Arabidopsis thaliana: one gene and its partners. The protein of the gene in region 3 purifies or fractionates together with the protein of the main gene of each other region. This does not show direct contact. Each region holds a gene or a part of one and is shown on either strand. Other genes may lie near its edges. The genes, in order: AT3G27240, AT5G40810 and MPPalpha.

Region 1 (6,082 bases), 4.5 Mb from region 3:
GAATAATGGTGCTCCGTTTAGTGAGTTTATAGCTGCGAGAGGGCTCTTTCCGTTGTTCTTGAGCTTAGACCATAGATTTCCTTTTCTTGACAATGTGTTTGATCTTATTCATGCTTCTAGCGGATTAGATGTTGAGGGTAAAGCGGAGAAGCTAGAGTTCTTGATGTTCGATCTTGATCGGGTTTTGAAACCCCGTGGATTGTTCTGGTTGGATAACTTCTATTGTGCTAATGATGAGAAGAAGAAAGAACTTACACGTATGATTGAGAGGTTTGGGTATAAGAAGCTTAAATGGGTTATTGGAGAGAAGGCTGATGCACAAGTTTATCTCTCAGCTGTTCTGCAAAAGCCAGTGAGAGCTTGATCGGGAATGCAAAAGGAAGTTCGTAATGGTAAGACCGACCATAAGAGTAAAACTCTCTATTTATAGTTACATTTGATCATAGGTTATAAATTTGGAGGTCATTAGGTGATATTTATTCCAGAGAAGAAGAATAAGCAATTATATATTTACCAGGGCAATTGGAGAAAATCATTTGTAAAAGTTTTTCAGTATAATGTGTTGAAATTTTGTCGATTATTATTACTACTTTTCTGTTATAATATCCATATATACCATACAAATAAAAATGAGTACCATTAATTGTGTTTTTGTTATACCTGAAATAAATTCTCCTCATGCAACCAAAGCCAGATGCAAGAAATGCCGAAAATAGACAACAAAATCAGAGTACAAAGTTATTTTTTATTGAGACAAGAGGAAAAACATAACAAATGATATAATCTCAAAATCATGTGTGATTATTATGAGGCGAAAAAAACAAGTTTTCGTGATTATCCTCATAAAACTCTCTAGTAATAATCGAAGGAAAAAGAAGAACGATGAGGTCTTTTCACCTTCAGGTGAGAACTGGTCTCATCAAAGATTTTTATGACACATAAAAATGATGATACGTTATTACCCAGAGAAAGGCTCTTCTCTATTTAACATCCTTTGTTGAAAATACGACTGTGTGTGGCCAGGCCAATGCAAAAGCTTTTCAGCGGCGCTTTAGTTAACCACGTCAAGAACCAGCTTGCGGGACTTGAGAACCGACCATTTTAGTCGCCTGTAGTAAGCAGCTTGGAGAAGAGCGAGAGAGAGTAGGAATATCCATTTGAAACCCATCTGCAAATAGTGAAACCAACATTAACCGCCATGTAAAATGTAACCTCAAAAAAAAGTCAATTCTTTGTATCGGTCTGGAAGCTGAGGTTTGTGTCTGCAAAACGAGTCAAACTGTGTTCACAGCATATCTAAATGTTATTATCTTAGTAGCAGACCAAGAACTAGTAGCACTTCACACTTGGTACAACAATTGGTTCTCTAAGTCAACTTGATCGATCATAAACTAAATCTAGTATTAATTGCATAGTCTAGGGAGAAAATACAATGTTCACCAGCGAACAGAGAAAGATAAACCTACCAGTTTCCTCTCTTCCATTTCTGGTTCAGCTGCCCAGGCCAAGAATGATACAATATCTTTACCCATCTGCACCGTAAAGTAAAGTTTATATCATGACACTGAGAAAGGACAGTACCATAAGGCATAAAGATTTATGTTCTTATATTTTAAGTGGAGGAAAAATAACCTGTGCCTCTGTGGCGGGGACACCATCTTCATACTCAACAGCTTCATCATTGAGCATTTTCGGCATAGCAATTGCTCCCCCAGGGAAATAAGGATTGTAGTGTAACCCCTCTCTAATCTGTACAGTTATCATCGGATTTTTCATAACCAGCACTTTGAATTCGAAGAAGTTCAATGTGGAAAATGAGAGAAACTTACCGATATGCCAGCAGGGGGATCACGGTAACCAGTCAGAAGCGCAAAGACATAGTTTGGACCATTGTGACGTGCCTGGAAGGCAGAACATTAAAACTATTTAAAACACAAAACACAAGTTTGCTACAGATGTTCAGTTAAAGTAAAGTAGCAGCAGCAGACCTTAGTTATAAGACTTAGATCAGGAGGATACGCTCCACCATTAGCAAACCTTGCAGCTGATTCATTTGCATATGGCTGAGGAAACCGGTCACTGAGTTTACCAGGGCGGGTGAACATCTCACCCTCATCATTAGGTCCATCTACTACCTCGATTTCAGCTGCCATTGCCTTTGCCTCTTCCTCTGTGTAGGCGACACCCACCAAGTCTCGGTATGAGATCAGAGACATTGAATGGCATGATGCACAGACTTGCTGATAAACTTGATGCCCACGACGGATCCTGCTCATACAACATCAACCTTTCAATAATTCATACAGTACAAAAATTTCACTGAAGTTTCACAGTCTAATATTAGGGTAGCAGGATAGTCACTTTCTTTAGGTTTAGACATGACTTCGGTGATCTTGAATCGTTTTATTAAAAAAAGGCAGCAACAAGCCCCTTATTTTATGTATGATTTCTTTTCCTTCTATACAAAGACTCATACAAACGCTTGATTCACGCATGATAGACTTTTTGATTCAAAGAAATTTACAATTCTAAGAAAATTTCCTTTTTCATTGAAAAATTGCTTGAAAGGACGTTAACTTATAAAAGCAAAAAAAAATCTATAAGAAAATGATAAAATGATGCTATTAACCAGACAAGAAGATGAGAGAGTGGTGACAATACTCACGAAGCATGGTCATATGAGCTAAGAATGCCATCATGAGGCCAAGGGTACTCTGGACTCTCCAATCCATGTTCAGCCTCATCAGCAGATGCTACTGTAGAAAAACTCAACAGTCCTGTAACACCAGCACCCAACAAGGCAAGTGCTCTTACACCAGAAGAACCAGCATCCTCATGAGCTTTCTTCGAAGAAAACCAAGACAAAACCGGAGTTGCCTGCAGGATAACACAAAACCAATGCTCAGTCAAAACTTCGCCGCAAACCAACTCAGTTATATGCTAACCAAATGGACTTTCAAAAGATTGCTGCATTCTACTATTCTACTAGGATTTGACATTGAAGCAGAAGCTATACATAAATCATTGTCTCCTGTCTTATGTTCCAAAAAATGAAAAATTTCACAAAGAAATCATTAGCTAATGAGCATCAGTGTCACAAAACACAAATCTTTAACCACAGAACCGAAAAAAATGTCTTAAAAACAGATCCCAAGCTGAAATCGTAAATCAAAATAGAAATGAAGAGAATGTAAAATTAAGACTGGAAAAAATCTCACAAGTGATTGGGAGTGAAGCTTCCTCCTAAGAATTTGCTGGATAACTCCTCCTCCAACCATTTGATTAAACCTTTGTACCAATCAACACGCTGAAGAAACAAAGAAATTGAATCAGAATACTGATTCAGTGAAAATGCGATTTCACAACACGTATACGAATAAACAAAAGCGAACAAGCCCTAGAAAATTTGAGTCTACACAGATCCGACGAATATAGATAACTCTGATCAATCAAATGTCAAAGAAGAAAACGAAGGTTTCGAATACGAGATATACAGAGAAATAGAGAGAGAATCTCACCGGAAAATGAAGAAACGAGATCGGCGACGGAGACGATCGAGGGAGAAGAGTTTGGGAACGAACAAGTAAAAGAGAGAAAATGGGAGTTCCACGATGACACAGCGGCTGCTAGACACACGACCACAGTTTTACTTATTTGGGCCTTAATGGGCCAACAACGTACTGCTTGAGCCCAGAAAATGTCGAAGTAGATAACACTTGAAAAGTTTAAAAGCTTGGTGGATCTTTATTATCTTTGAGAAGAAAAATCTTCCGAATGCAACGTAAAACATATGACTTTAGGATCATACATCACCAGAAGTAGACTTGGTTGGATTTTAAAAAATCAATATGGAGATAATTAAAAAAATGTTTGAATTATCATACTAGTGACAATGTTTGTACTTCAAACTGGCTTAATGGTCTAATCATTTCATATTATATATATAAACAAACAGTGAAAATTTGAAAACACGATTTTGCTTTAAAAAAAGTTTTGGCAATCACAACTTTTGAAACTTCTTAGGAGGAAGCTTCACTTCTAATCACTTGTGCTATTAATATATGATCTTGATAATGAGATGTTAATTACAACTGTGGATAATTTTTGATCTAAGGACCATTAATCATTCTGATGTGATATGCGTGATTAGCTGGAATAATCACATTTTACTATCAAGTGGAATCATACTTAAGTTAAGTAACTTAACCATCGACCGAGTCAGAAACTATGCTTCATCTACTAAACATATGTCTCGCATATCCGACAAAAAGTCAGAGAGAAATTTTAAAAAGAACAAACAAGCAATCTACCACAATCACAAAGGAAAATAATACTAAGACTCACGGTCAAATGGCCCTTAACTGCGGGAACCAAGCTTTGTACTCTCTTTTTCCCAAAACATCGAACTTCAGCGAGAAAAAATCCCTGGAACACTTTATGTACCACAAGACCTAGAAATACTTGTTTTAAACTATGTTTTCAACAATATTTCAACAATTTGGAATAAATTAAAGCATCACCAGCAGCCTCCAAAGGTTTGGATATTTTTACGGTTTATATATTTTTACTTGAAGTACCCAAAAAGAAACCAAAATACTCAAAGAACCGAACCTTACCTTCATCCTTGGTCCCCCATTCTTCTCTTCATATGACAACAACACAAGTTAGTAAGTTACATACCAAAAAGTGACAACAAAGAGAGATTATAAACTGGAGAGCTAACTTGCTCGCTTAATTTGTAACACAAAACAAAGAAAGAAGACTAACTGAACTGAAAAACATTCGGTTTCCTTATGGATGCTAAAAAGCTAAAAACGAATAACCCAAAACCCGAAGAATTGAACCGAACCGAATGTGTATCAGTGTATGCCTAGTTACTAATCCTGTTTTGTTACTAGAAAAAAACCTTTTGTTATGTGGCATCCATCTGGACTATATTAACAAAAGTTGTTGTGAAAATATAGATTAAAAAAAACTATTCAAAACACCTAAACAAAATTATAATTCAACGCAGTATTAATTACTCCATGCAGACGCAGTCTTTTTTTTTTGATAAAATCTATTAAAAAATAAAAACTCTACTCGTTTCAGTTTTTGCTTGTTTTATTTAACAATTAATTAATACATTAGTCTTTTTCTTTTTTTTAACAACTATATTATGTCTGCAAATATCATTAGATCGCTAACATTTCTTATTCGTTTACTCACATATATCGGCATGCTAATGATGCGCATAATTCCTTCTTCTTTTTTCGTGCTCAACGTAGACATGCATATGTAAGTATGAATGTTTGATGAGTCATGACATAACAGCTTTTCAAGTGAGAAATGGAGGACACATAGTGCAATTTGATTGGTCGGAGATTACGAGGACCAATAAGAGCCTTCGAATAAGGTGAAACAGCATATTGTGTGTTTACGTAGGACCCATGCGTTCATATAATATAAAAATCTCAACTAAAAATAAAAGAAAATTGGGGAAATAAACATACCATTTAACTTATCATATGGACCTATGTGTATGCATCTATGTGGGTAAAGATATATTCACATTGCTTCTATTCAACAACGTGTGTGTTTCTTCGCCTATAGTTGCCGGCCGTCAAAATTTAATACTGTATATTATGTGTTGGACCATACATTTTGCTAATCAACAAAAAATATTTTTAAAGTTAATTAAGTGACCATAATTTTATATTTACTCTTGTTGAGTCCATCCATGCTCTTGCTAATCTAATAGTTCCTGGTCATCGTATTATAAACTTATAATCCGGATTATCCGTAATTTTTGTATGGCATATGCAAGGTAAAAAAAACAATTAATGCTTTCGTTGTTTAAATTAAATGTACGTGGATGTTGATTTAAATTCAAAACGATTGTTCTATCCCTTCCATTCTATATTTTTTTTTGTTTGTAGTCATAATAGTTTTGTGTATGGTATTAAAAACAATGCAATGCAACATACATACAATCGATGGATGTGGTTATATAAAATCCTTAGAAAATATTCTTCTATAGATCTCACATATGTACATATATGTGTCATGTATATAGACTGACTGACTGACATATATATTGACG
Region 2 (6,070 bases), on a different chromosome or scaffold from region 3:
AGTTTTCATAATGCCATTTATGTTAATACAGTAAGTTGACATGCAGATAACACTATCCTATGAAAACATGGGTGGCTACAAATCTTTTTGACATGCAGATGTTACTTGTATCATAGGCTCCTTGTGCACAAACTTCCTGTAGAAGTTGAAGCTAAAACAGTACATAAGCCAGGTCTCGCACTGTTTCATGATTCTTTGTGGAGAACGGTCAGTAACAATAGTGTTAACTGGAGCGGTCTTGGCTGCAAAAGTTTTGAATGCTTGAAAGGTCTTAACTGAGCCGGGATTTTGTTGGTTGCTTTGATCTAGCTCTGGTCATGAGAAAGATAGGTTTGTTAAGGTTAAAGTGAAGACTGATTTCCTGATAGATGATGTTTGGGTTTAGGCGATGGGAAAATCCGAATCGGATTCGATATTAGCAGCGGATCAGGCACGTTTGCTGCTAGAATGGCTGAAAAGAATCTGAATATTATCGGTATTACATTAAATATAGATGCTCCTTTCAGCGAATTCATAGCTACAAGAGGGATTTTTCCGTTGTTCAGAGGGAGTTTGGATTAGAGATTCCCGTTCTATGACAATGTTTTTGATCTCATTCATGCTTCTAACGGATTGGATTTAGCGGTTAGTAGTAAACCCGAGAAGCTAGAGTTCTTGATGTTTGATCTTGATCGGATCTTGAAACCCGGTGGATTGTTCTAGTTAGACAATTTCTATTGCGGTAATGATGAGAAGAAGAGAGTTCTTACGCGTTTGATAGAGAGGTTTGGGTATAAGAAGTTGAAATGGGTTGTTGGAGAGAAAACTGATGCTGAGGTTTTTCTCTCGGCTGTTCTGCAGAAGCCTGCCAGGATTTGATTGGTTTTTTTCTTCTTTTTAATCAAGATTTTGATCTTTTCATAGGTTATAAAAATTTGAGCTCATTACATTTTTATAAATATTGATTCCAAGGGACAATTAAAAGTGTGGACTTGTATTTTGAGGTTTTGTCCGATCCTGCATGTTTGTTTCATTGTCTGTAGGATTGTGCAATTTTGTTTGGTAATGTCTTAACGGAACTGGTTTTACATTAACGGGTCTAAATCCTGCCTACATTTTTCTAAGTTTTACAAAATCGAGTTCGCAACAGAGGTAAATTGGTTGTTCTGTGGAGTTTTGGTCTATCAGAAATAGACCACAGATTTTAACTTTTTAACTTTAATAGTTACAAAATCATGTTTTGTGATATACAAATAGGAGAGAGATTGTAAAACCACATTTTTATTAAGACAAACCGAGTCCGGTTTAGGAGACAACAAACCAAAAAGAAATAATATAATCTCAAAATCATGTGTGACTTGAGGTTAAAAAAGCTTTACTTCTTTGCCTCATTAGACTTTCTAAACAATAAACAAAGAAACATGTCTTTTGAGACAAAAAGTGGGATTCACCATTTATCCCTTTCAAGATTAATGATTATTACCCAGAGAAAAGGTGATCTTCACGGGATTAGTTAACAACGTCGAGAACAAGCTTACGGGATTTGAGTACTGACCATTTCAGTCTCCTGTAATACGCAGCTTGAAGCAGAGCCAAAGACAGTAAGAATATCCATTTGAACCCCATCTGCACACACATACAACCAACGTTAACAGATATCTAAGCACAAAGAGTTGGATTCTCGGTATAGCGGGTTTTTTTGGGTCGGTTTAGAACCAACATGACGGTTTTGAATACAGAGTAACAATACGGTTCATGTTTGATAATAGTTTTGGTCTGAGATTAGCAGCCTCAAGAAACAAGCAGTAGTGTGGTCAACACAACTATGCAACTAGGTGTGTTCAACACAACTATGCAACTAGGTGTGTTCATCCCGCTATACAGAAGACAGAACCAAGGAAATCTTAACACGGATAAAATGGCGATACTTTTTCTACATCCAAAACCAATCTATACTATGCCGGTTTAAGTTTGGTAACAATTTTCTCAAACTGAATCTGAAAATCAAATAATCAGAATCCAGATTGATATTCCTATTGCAATCTCGTACATATGGAAACGACAGCTTAAAACATGGAATATATGAAACTAAGAAACTTACCAATTTCCTCTCTTCCATCTCTGGTTCAGCTGCCCAGGACAAGAAGGATACAACATCTTTACCCATCTGCATCATGTTTTTTAAAAAAAGAAAAATTAAAGATTATATAATTGACTCAGAGGAAAGGTCAAATCTGATAAAACTTTATGGTCTGCAAATTATTTTCTTAAGCAGAGGAAAACTAACCTGTGCTTCTGTTGCAGGAGTTCCATCTTCATATTCCACAGCTTCATCGTTGAGCATTTTTGGCATAGCGATTGCTCCACCAGGGAAATAAGGATTGTAGTGTAGCCCCTCTCTGATCTGTACCCGTTAGTCACAGGATTATTTCTAACTTCCAACAATTTGAAGTTGTAATAACAAGTCTAAAGCAAAAATAGGAGAGAAATTTACCGAAATTCCAGCAGGAGGATCACGATAACCAGTCAACAGAGCAAAGACATAATTTTGGCCATTGTGACGTGCCTGGAAGAAAATAGCCAAATTGCTTAGATCATAGTAGATGAATTTTCTAATTGTATACAAATGGAGAGAAAGAGCACCAAACCTTAGTTACAAGACTTAGATCCGGTGGATACGCTCCTCCATTGGCGAACCTAGCAGCCGATTCATTTGAGTATGGTTCAGGAAGCCGATCACTGAGTTTACCAGGTCGGGTGAACATCTCACCCTCATCATTTGGTCCATCAACAACCTCGATTTCAGCTGCCATGGCCTTCGCCTCTTCCTCTGTGTAGGCAACACCCACCAAGTCTCGGTATGAGATCAGAGACATCGAATGGCAAGACGCACAAACTTGCTGATAAACTTGGTGACCACGACGGATCCTGCTCATTACAAATCAACCGTCAGTAAAGCAGTCTCAAATTTCTCTAATTTTCAACTTTAGTGTTGCAATTTCACTATGATGATTGAATTGTAGCTTGAACACTCACGAAGCATGGTCATATGAGCTGAGAATGCCCTCATGTGGCCAAGGGTAGTTAGGACACTCCAGACCATGTTCAGCCTCATCAGCAGATGCAACAGTAGAAAAACTCAATAATCCGGTAATACCAGCACCCATGAGAGCAAATGCTCTTAAACCAGCAGACCCAGCATCTTCATTCGCTTTCTTCGAAGACAACCATGACAATACCGGAGTTGCCTATGGTGGTAGATAATACAGAACAACAGTAAGAAAACAAAAAAAAAGGCCAAGACACAAGAAGGTGTATGCTCAACAAATCAAAAGACTACTTTTTCTGAAAAGAAATCGAATATTAATCATACTCTCGAAGCACAAATCAATAAGTCTAAGTTTCTTATATCCCAAAATCTCCAACGCCACAACAATTCCAGTTACAATTCTTCAAGGACAATCTCTCAGAGCAATGAAGGTGTAGACAGAACCAAAACAAATCATATGATTCTATCTTCAAACAGATCCTAAGCTACAGCAGAAAATCAAAAAGATGTAACAGGGAAAAAGCTCACGACTGATTGGGAATGAAGTTTCCTTCTAAGAAGCTGCCGGATAACTCCTCCTCCAACCATTGGATGAACACTTGTACCAATCGATCTCACTGATACAAACAGAGAAGATTCTCAGCCATTACATATACCCGAAACAATGAGTAAGCCCTAGAAAACTCGATTCTCTATATAGATCCGAAGTTCCAACAAATAAACAAAATTGAATGAAGAAATGGCAGATTCGGATATGAGATGTGTCGAATCGAGAAAATACTCACAGGAAAATGAAGCAACGAGATCGGCGATTGACGAACAGAGGAGGAGGAAGAAGAAGAAGAAGAAGAAGAAGAAGTAAACAGCTACCAGAGAAAATGGATGTCTCCGGATGACGCGACTGGACTGTCACACACAACACAACAACACCTTTCAGATTTTTCAAGTATCATGGGCCTAATTTAATCCATTAAAAGCCCATTAAGGGCCTATCCGTACAGTCAACAGCCAAAAAAAATATCTGGAATATTTCTCATTGGAATAAATGGACCAAATCTTGAAATTTAGTAAAGGGAGACTTTGTGTAAATGATCTATGTGTTGTTGTTTTTTTCAATAGTGAAGAGTTCATTAGTCCAGAATGTTCAATTACAAAAAGATTAACACAGGCTGAGATCGAGATCACATTCTGGCTTGTTTAGTAAATATGTCGATCGATAAATTATTATGGCTTGCATTAACTCATTTTATAGGGTCCAAAGCGAGGCTGCTTTGAATCTAACATGCATTATTGTAGTTCAATATCGAGAGGCGCAAATTTGAAAATACAACATATGTTTCGTATGCTCTCGGGATACTACATCGACTCCAAAATTATAATCTTCCTTAAACTTGAAAATGTGTTTCAATTTTACATAGTACGGGAAAATGTAAATGAGAAATTACATGTTCGCTTTTGCTAGGTAAGTTCATATATTAATTCCCACAGGTTTGTGAATGTTCATGGTATGTTTAATATCTGTTACTCATCTTGAATATCTTTGCTGAATAGAATCTCTTATACCTAAAAACAGAATTTTAATTAAGCAGGAGAAATTCTCATCATGACTCAACTCAAGCCGAATCATTAGGTTTTTGCAATCATAAGTTGTGGTTCGGAAAACGAATTTGGAATCATCAGAAAATTAATGAATGAGACATCGTCCTGGAAGCTTTTCTACATATTTTCAAGCCACGAAACAGTAACTTTCTTAATATGTTGATTGGTGAGTCCTTTAGTGTCTCAAGTGGAAGTAGTTTTTCATTTATGAGAGATGATTTAATATGAGTCGGTTTGAATGCTATGCATTTCCTTTCGTGTCTTAGAGAAATGCCTCTATTATGTTTTGGCTTTGGGGAATACCTCCTTTAATTATGTTTTAAACTTTGTGATCTTTGAATCACTCCTTCTTGTACTTGTTTTTATGTGAATGAATGAAAACAAGCCTTTGTAAAAAAAAAAACATATTCTTCTCTTAACTTTATCTACAAGGACCATTCAGCTTTATCAAAATTAAAAGCTATGCTATTATCTTGTCTAAGAGCTAGATAGCGATCTGCTTTTATTGGTGGTATGAAGGAAAAGTATAATTATATGATTAAGTATGTCATTATAGTAATTTTTCTACCTAAATGAATGTTAATTAATTTAGTTTATTTTGGGATGAGGCACCTCCCCAGCAGGTATCTTAATAACATATCAAATAAGGGTTTCGATTTGAGACATGTTTCCACATTGTATCACGAATTGTTCATCAGTGCCTAATTAAGAAAATATACAGTTTAAAATTTGTGATTTTAAAATAATAGTAATTTTCTTATAATTAAAAAATATTTATGTATCATGACCAACGCCTATTTGCTTGTAATGTCGGGTTACTTTCACTCCTTTATCAAAATTGTATCAAATTTTTGTATTTGCGTATAATAATTGTATTATAATGTTTATATATTTTGTAACCTTGTTTTATATCAATATATCTGATTTGACAAACAAAAAAAAGAAATTAAACAACCTAACATTATTTCTTTCAGAATTTAGTGTGTGTTTATAGGATTTTAAATCTAATTTTATATGAGGTATTAGATAGTGGTAATGTATTATGTTAAGAAACGAACTTAAATAATAATAAAATAATAAATATGATTTTTATTGGGTTTTATGACAAGTGAAAAGAATCCACTCTAGCGTATTTCAGTATGTTTTTACCGATAGAATTTATCCCAAAAAAAAATGACAAGGTGAAAGAATACTTATGCTTTTGTGTGATGTATTATGTAAAGGTAATGAAAGATACGTATGATAGGTTTATTCCGTGAAATGTTTTTCATAGATATCAAATGCAAATGATAGGTTTATTCCGTGAAATGTTCTAACCGAACCTAAATGATTAACACACCCAAAACCACACCAAGATGACTTTAGCTATAGAATGAGAGCACATCCCTAGAACCGGAGCTACATAAGTACATAGATCCGACCATAGGACAATGAGAAGACCTT
Region 3 (6,097 bases):
AAATATCGTCATAGCCTTTGACTTTTCATTTATGACTTTCCTTTTTTTTTTTTTTTTGTAAATTATTGCTTTGCTTTGGAAAAAATGTGAAATTTGCTTCTTTTCCTCTTCATGTGGAATGCTTTTTGTCGATTACGCATAAGAGAAGTAAGAAACTTATCCATATTTCAAAATTATAATGTTCTTCAATAGTAAGAGATTACTTGAATTTAGATATTGGTTATGAAGAATTTGAAATTCAAAGATGCGAGTAATCGAGGGAAGATATTATTAATAAGTAACTATGATGACGAAATGAGGTTGAAATTTGCAATAAATTTGGAATCCATGTAGCGTCAGACAAGTACGACATGACGTTATCATTATCGTGATTTTTCAAAATCTTTTTGTAATGTTTCTATATCTAATCATTTTTAAAAACCACCAGGGAATATGATTGGTTCATGCCGATACGTGTTTACGTCATCATATTCGTTCTTCTGAAAGTAGAAATAATTAAAATACACATCAACTGCTTTTGATAAGCTCTAATTTACCTCGTAATCCGCCAAAAAGATTCCCTAATAGCCTTTTTAATTAAGGTTTTCTGTGATTAAACACCTTCATCATAGGCTGTCAAAAAAAAAATAACACCTTCATTTTAGACTTTAGGAGTGTGTATGTAAATTATGCTTTCACATTTCGAAATAACTATGGTAAATTGATCTAATTCTAGTAGTAATTTATTGTGGATCTATCTTATATCTGGTTGAGAGTTTAAGATACTTTTAAGGCAATTATTTGTCTGATGGAGTCGTTTCTATTATTTAGATCCATTTATTCAATAATCCTTTTATTAACAAAATATTAAAGCATTTAAGAGTTCATAAAATTAATAATTTGGAAAATATTTTATGTAGTAGTAGACTTCTATCTATCTTTAATGCCTATGTTTGCCAGCATTCTTTAACAAGAAAGAAATTTAAAAATTGAAGCTGAAAAAAGTTGGTAAACGTATCAATCATTATTCACTAACCGAAGAGAAGAAATACGCAACAACGAAATTGGAGACATGGGCGTAATTTGTCACCATTTTCATGGACTTATCTTAGGTCAGAAACTTGAGAGATAGATGAAACAAAAAATTTGGTTGGATCTCCAAAAAAAAGGCTATCTTTATTCTACAGGTCCCAACTCTATCTTATGATGTAAAAAGATCTTTTTTACTTCTTCACTCTTCAGCGAAATCTTTTGCTTACGGAGTCATAGCTTGGAACATTCAACACTGTCCCAAAATCAACACAAGATTTTAGAATAAGTAAAATGGATTTAAGTTTGCAATGCCGTTTTATAAAAGATGTAAAACTGTGATGATGGTTTTGTCATTACCGTCTCCGAAAGTTGCCATTGTCAAAGGCTTTGTGATAACCTTGCTAGTGAAATCTGCAATGTCCTTTAAGGTAAGTTGGTCTACTGTCTTCAAGAATTGGTCTACTGGTTTCCTGCAGATATGTTGGGAAAACAAAAAAAAAAACAGTTAGAGAAAAGTCTGGTTATAATCAGTTTAGAAGTGGAATGTTACAAAGTGTATGTACCTCTCTCCGTAAGTAAGAATCTGTCTACCAATGTCTTCTGCTGCAATCATCTGCAAATCACACAAACAGTTAAATTCCATTATAAAGTCACCCTCATGGCTTAAGAAAAAGAGGTGGAACTTTTAAGTGACCTACCCGAGATTCCAGATTCATCAGAATCGCAGATTTTGTTGCTGCTTTGGCGCGATCAAGATGTTTCTGATTAACTGCCAAAGCATGTACACCAGAGTAAATAATATGTCTGTATGAGTTGATAAATGGTTCTAAAAAAGAATGGATGAAATATATAGAAAACCTTTTCCATCAGCAACAGCGTTCATTTCACTAGCTACTAATTCAATTCCCTGTGAAGCAAATTCAGGACTCTGCAACGCCAAAAGAATGTAAGCAAACCCACATTGCAAAGTGCTAAAAACCGTTAATAAGCAACAACTAGAAATCGGTGCAAACTCACCGTGCAACCATAGATTCCAAACAATCCGGTATTGTTAAAGACGCTAGTGAATGCAGTGCATGATTGAAACTGCTGATGTTGGTTCAAAAGGCGAAGATCTGCATCCAGACAATAAAGAAACCAATCTCATCATCATCATGACCAACAAATAACTAACTTACATTAAAACATGAGTGTTGAAAAACCGCAAGTAGAAAGAGAACACATTCAGAGACTTACAGAGCCAAGAGTGCATTCCTTTTCCAGGGCCTCCCGCAGAAAATGAGCCACCTCCTCCCATAAGCATCTGATAAGAATTGGATTTTACACAATTAAGTCTTTGCGTTTGAAAGATCAAGTAATGTATTTGAGTCAGGCACCTGAAGAACAGTTGCAATGATAGCTTCCTTCTCGTTATTCCATCCTGGCACTTCAAAAGCAAGCGCAAAATGTGTAGCCTGAGAATGGTGAAACAAAAAAAGAAAGATATTAGGAATAATAAACCTTCTTTTACTCAAAGAAGCCCATTGAAACGTCATATTTGTACCTCTCCACCCGTATGTTGACGGAAATCTCCACCGACATATTGAGACTTTGGCTCCGCAGGTCGGGGTACATTAGGGAGGTCAGATAGTAATGGCTCAACCACTTTTAGAAGTTCTTCATGATCAACTCCACTAGCTGCTAGGACCATTCGTGAAGCAGTGTAATTCTCCTGAAATTTCAGAACAAAATGAGAAAAAAGACACATCTACGAAATAACAAACCAAAAGCCAGTGATACTAGTTCCAGCGAATGCAATAATCTCTTGTGTTAACGGTCTTACAAAAACAAAATTCTCCAAGACCTCCCCAGTCAATCCAGTAATTGCAGATTCAGGTGCATACAATGGATTTGCCAATGCGCCAGAGTAACCAGCAGAATGAACTGCCTCCAAAAGAAAACCCATTGGATTCGTTGCGAATTCTCCTATCTCTACTTTCACCTTTCGGAGCTGCCAGGAGAAAAATGATGAAAACAGTGTAAAAAAATTGCTTAGCTTTAATGTTTGTGAGATACATGCAACATGACATGAAGTACCTCTTCATTCACTTCCCAATCCAAAAAAGCAGGGTTCCTCACACTATCAATAAGCACTTCAACCATTTCGGGAACATAGGTTTTGAGAGCATCAATTGTGTAACCCATCTGCTCTCGGGATGCAGAAGCTGAAGTATTACCTCCAATAGCCTCTATTTCCCTTACAAGGCGAAAATGGCTTCTGTTCAATGTACTCTTGAATGCCATCCTTTCAAGCAAGTGCGTCGCTCCACGGAATTGAGGAGTCTCATAAATAGAACCACAGTCAACGTATAAACCAATGGAAGCTGCTGGATTCTGAACAAAATTTCACTCAAAATCACTTTCCAGTAGTTTTTAACAGGAAGTTGATGTTGGGATTACTAAAAGAAGCTCTCACCGGAGACATCTCAGTGGCTATAGTCAGACCATTTGGAAGAGTAGTGGTCTTAAGTTTGCTAGGCTCAACATGGTCAGAGAGTGGTGGTGGAAGAGAGACACCAGCCAAGGGAATGTTCATAGAAGGAAGTGAACTAGAGTAGCCTCCACTTAGCCAGCTGGAGGAAGAAGAGCTCGTTGCAACAGCACTAGAACTTGCATAACGAGAAGCTCGAAAATTGTGGTTTAGAATGCCCTATAAACACACACACACACACACACATCCTAAGCATCATTAATCTCTTGATTCAATTAACATTGTAAAAATAAGAACTTTCGAAACAGAGACATTTCATAAACCTGCAAAAAGCATGAATAATGGCACCAGCTACTATAAAGCGATAAAATTGAATCAAGATCTATAAGAATCTAAGAGACCCTTTAATCCAAATCCAAAAACAATGAATCATACAAATTGTTCAATACTAAGCATTCTCCTAAAAAAACCAGAATCTCAATGGAAACAAGTGAAGTAGGACATTGACCTTAAGGGCCTTGGCTCGAGAAGCTGCCGTACGGTACATGATGATGACTGCGAAACCCTAGCTTGGTCAGATGAGTACCGGTGAATGTGGCTGACGACGGGAGAGAGATAGAGGCCGAGTCAGAGCTGAAAAGAAACGAGAGAAGGGAACGATTTTTTTTCCTAATTAAGGTTATTGGATCGGGCAATTGCTTCTAATTACATTGATAGGCCCATATGATATAATAGTCTTGGCCCAAATTATAACATATAGAAAAGATGAATTTAAAGCCCATGTATTGTAGTGGTGTGATCCTATTATATTTTCTCTCAATTATATTTTTTTTCTTTTCTTTTTCACGTACCATTGTGTAAAAATTCAAGTAAGGTAACGACATTTACATGCAGTCACAAATGAAACAAGAATTTTTTTGAGGTGTGTGTAAAGTGAAACGAAAAAAGTACTAAGAAAGTTTATCTTCTCTAAGTTAATAGAATTATTTTGAAACGTAGTATCCACATATATAGAAGACTCGTGTGTGGTGCATATATATACTGCATAACTTCAATTGAACTGTATTATATAACTATGACTATCCATCCATGGGAAGATAAGAATGAGAGCCGAATGCTAAAAAGCAAGGGACCCGAATTAAACAAAAATGAATAAAGGAGAAAGGTTTGTGTGATTTTGTCAATTGTCGTCGTTTAGTGGATGTGTAAAAATACTAAATACTATAACAGGTGGTGTGGGTCTATCTTTTTTTTTTTTTGGTCTAATGTTAAATGTGGGTCTATCTTAATAATGCAGAAATAGTGCAATACGATTCATGAGTGGAAAAAATCATATTTGGGTACTCTCATATATAGTCTCATTAATCATTATCACCGAGTGGGGCGTACGATACACTTTTTCTTCTTTATCTGTTTTCATCTAATCATCATACTGTATGTCTATATTATCGTAGCATTCATCATCGAGTTATGAAACTTATGCCAAAAGAAAAGAAAAAAAAATCATTTGAGATTGGTTAAATTTCTATTTTAAGATTTAAACCAAAATGTTTAAAGTTCTATAAGCTCTAATTAAAGTCTCTGCAGTCCATTAAAATGGATAATTAGGATTTGCCGAACTTGAAAGGAGTAATGCACATTTTGATGCTCACGTGAACAACGAGTTGTAACGGTTTCGCTATAATTGGAGGCAGATGAGAAATGGTCGTGTGTGAGTTTTAATACCACGTGATTAACGGAGCCACAATCATATTCATGGGCCATTCTCATGAGCTATAATTTGAGGTGTAGCTGAGAGATGGTCAAATGCCACGAACTTTGAGTATTTCTTTCTTAACTTTGCATTTTTTTAGACGTAAGTTTTTTTTTTCATAGCCTACATTTCTTTGACAACTCATAACCTACATTTTGAGAATTTATAAATGTCAATTTATCATTTAACCTTCTCACGATAATGCAATTCCTATGGTAAATGTCAACTCATAACAGACTCTACGAAGAATCTACGACACTGTGAAAATCTCTAATCCAATATTCAAAAGAGAGTTAAAAAAAAAAAAAAAAAACAGAAGAGAACATCTTTACGATGCTGCTTTCACGATTTTAAAATTTTAGGTGATTTTTTTTGGAATTTTGGAATTCTCTTTACAAATTTTATGTTGTAAGGTAGATTCAATTTTAAAAAAAAAAAGATATTTAGATTAATACAAGTTCCTAAGTCCTAACTAATCAAAGCTTCCATCCCTCGTGAAGCACGAGTTGGTTGAATATAAAGTCTCTCAAAAAGAAAAGAAAAAGTGGTTAGTATTGGCAGAAAAAAAAAGTGGTTAGTATTGGATGAAAAGAGAATTTAATGTTCGTATTCAAAAATGTTTTATATATACTATATAGTATATATACAAAATCCCAAGATTAACTCATTCATATTCCATCTTCATCTCCATTTCTCACACTCAAAGGTGTTTCTTCCTTCCCTTTAATGTACTCCTTTTTTCTTTCTTTCACAAAATCGTTATATTGATTTTTACTAGTTTTATTTGAATTATTGAATTTCTTTATATGATAATGAATCTATGAGAATATGATACCATTGTTTAAAGTAATGTCCTAGTGGAA

What was found.
Region 1: the proteins of MPPalpha (region 3) and AT3G27240 fractionate together in Arabidopsis thaliana (co-fractionation; one large-scale study listed by BioGRID). This does not show direct contact.
Region 2: the proteins of MPPalpha (region 3) and AT5G40810 fractionate together in Arabidopsis thaliana (co-fractionation; one large-scale study listed by BioGRID). This does not show direct contact.

Annotation. Positions count from the first base shown.
Region 1 is NC_003074.8:10,055,093-10,061,174, forward strand, and holds AT3G27240 (Cytochrome C1 family), read right to left. Parts: upstream 3,682-6,082; 5' UTR 3,519-3,681; intron 3,308-3,518; 5' UTR 3,279-3,307; coding exon 3,219-3,278; intron 2,878-3,218; coding exon 2,666-2,877; intron 2,269-2,665; coding exon 1,989-2,268; intron 1,902-1,988; coding exon 1,830-1,901; intron 1,750-1,829; coding exon 1,633-1,749; intron 1,533-1,632; coding exon 1,467-1,532; intron 1,169-1,466; coding exon 1,052-1,168; 3' UTR 638-1,051; downstream 1-637. Other genes in the region: AT3G27230 (S-adenosyl-L-methionine-dependent methyltransferases superfamily protein), read left to right, coding at 1-364. UniProt on the Arabidopsis thaliana protein: Component of the ubiquinol-cytochrome c oxidoreductase, a multisubunit transmembrane complex that is part of the mitochondrial electron transport chain which drives oxidative phosphorylation.
Region 2 is NC_003076.8:16,337,746-16,343,815, reverse strand, and holds AT5G40810 (Cytochrome C1 family), read right to left. Parts: upstream 3,954-6,070; 5' UTR 3,814-3,953; intron 3,646-3,813; 5' UTR 3,617-3,645; coding exon 3,557-3,616; exon of another isoform or gene 3,228-3,556; coding exon 3,016-3,227; intron 2,908-3,015; coding exon 2,628-2,907; intron 2,546-2,627; coding exon 2,474-2,545; intron 2,384-2,473; coding exon 2,267-2,383; intron 2,147-2,266; coding exon 2,081-2,146; intron 1,606-2,080; coding exon 1,489-1,605; 3' UTR 889-1,488; downstream 1-888. UniProt on the Arabidopsis thaliana protein: Component of the ubiquinol-cytochrome c oxidoreductase, a multisubunit transmembrane complex that is part of the mitochondrial electron transport chain which drives oxidative phosphorylation.
Region 3 is NC_003074.8:5,597,837-5,603,933, reverse strand, and holds MPPalpha (mitochondrial processing peptidase alpha subunit), read right to left. Parts: upstream 4,225-6,097; 5' UTR 4,029-4,224; coding exon 3,990-4,028; intron 3,701-3,989; coding exon 3,467-3,700; intron 3,385-3,466; coding exon 3,088-3,384; intron 3,002-3,087; coding exon 2,834-3,001; intron 2,723-2,833; coding exon 2,555-2,722; intron 2,466-2,554; coding exon 2,388-2,465; intron 2,315-2,387; coding exon 2,248-2,314; intron 2,127-2,247; coding exon 2,029-2,126; intron 1,940-2,028; coding exon 1,870-1,939; intron 1,781-1,869; coding exon 1,710-1,780; intron 1,625-1,709; coding exon 1,575-1,624; intron 1,482-1,574; coding exon 1,369-1,481; intron 1,265-1,368; coding exon 1,218-1,264; 3' UTR 907-1,217; downstream 1-906.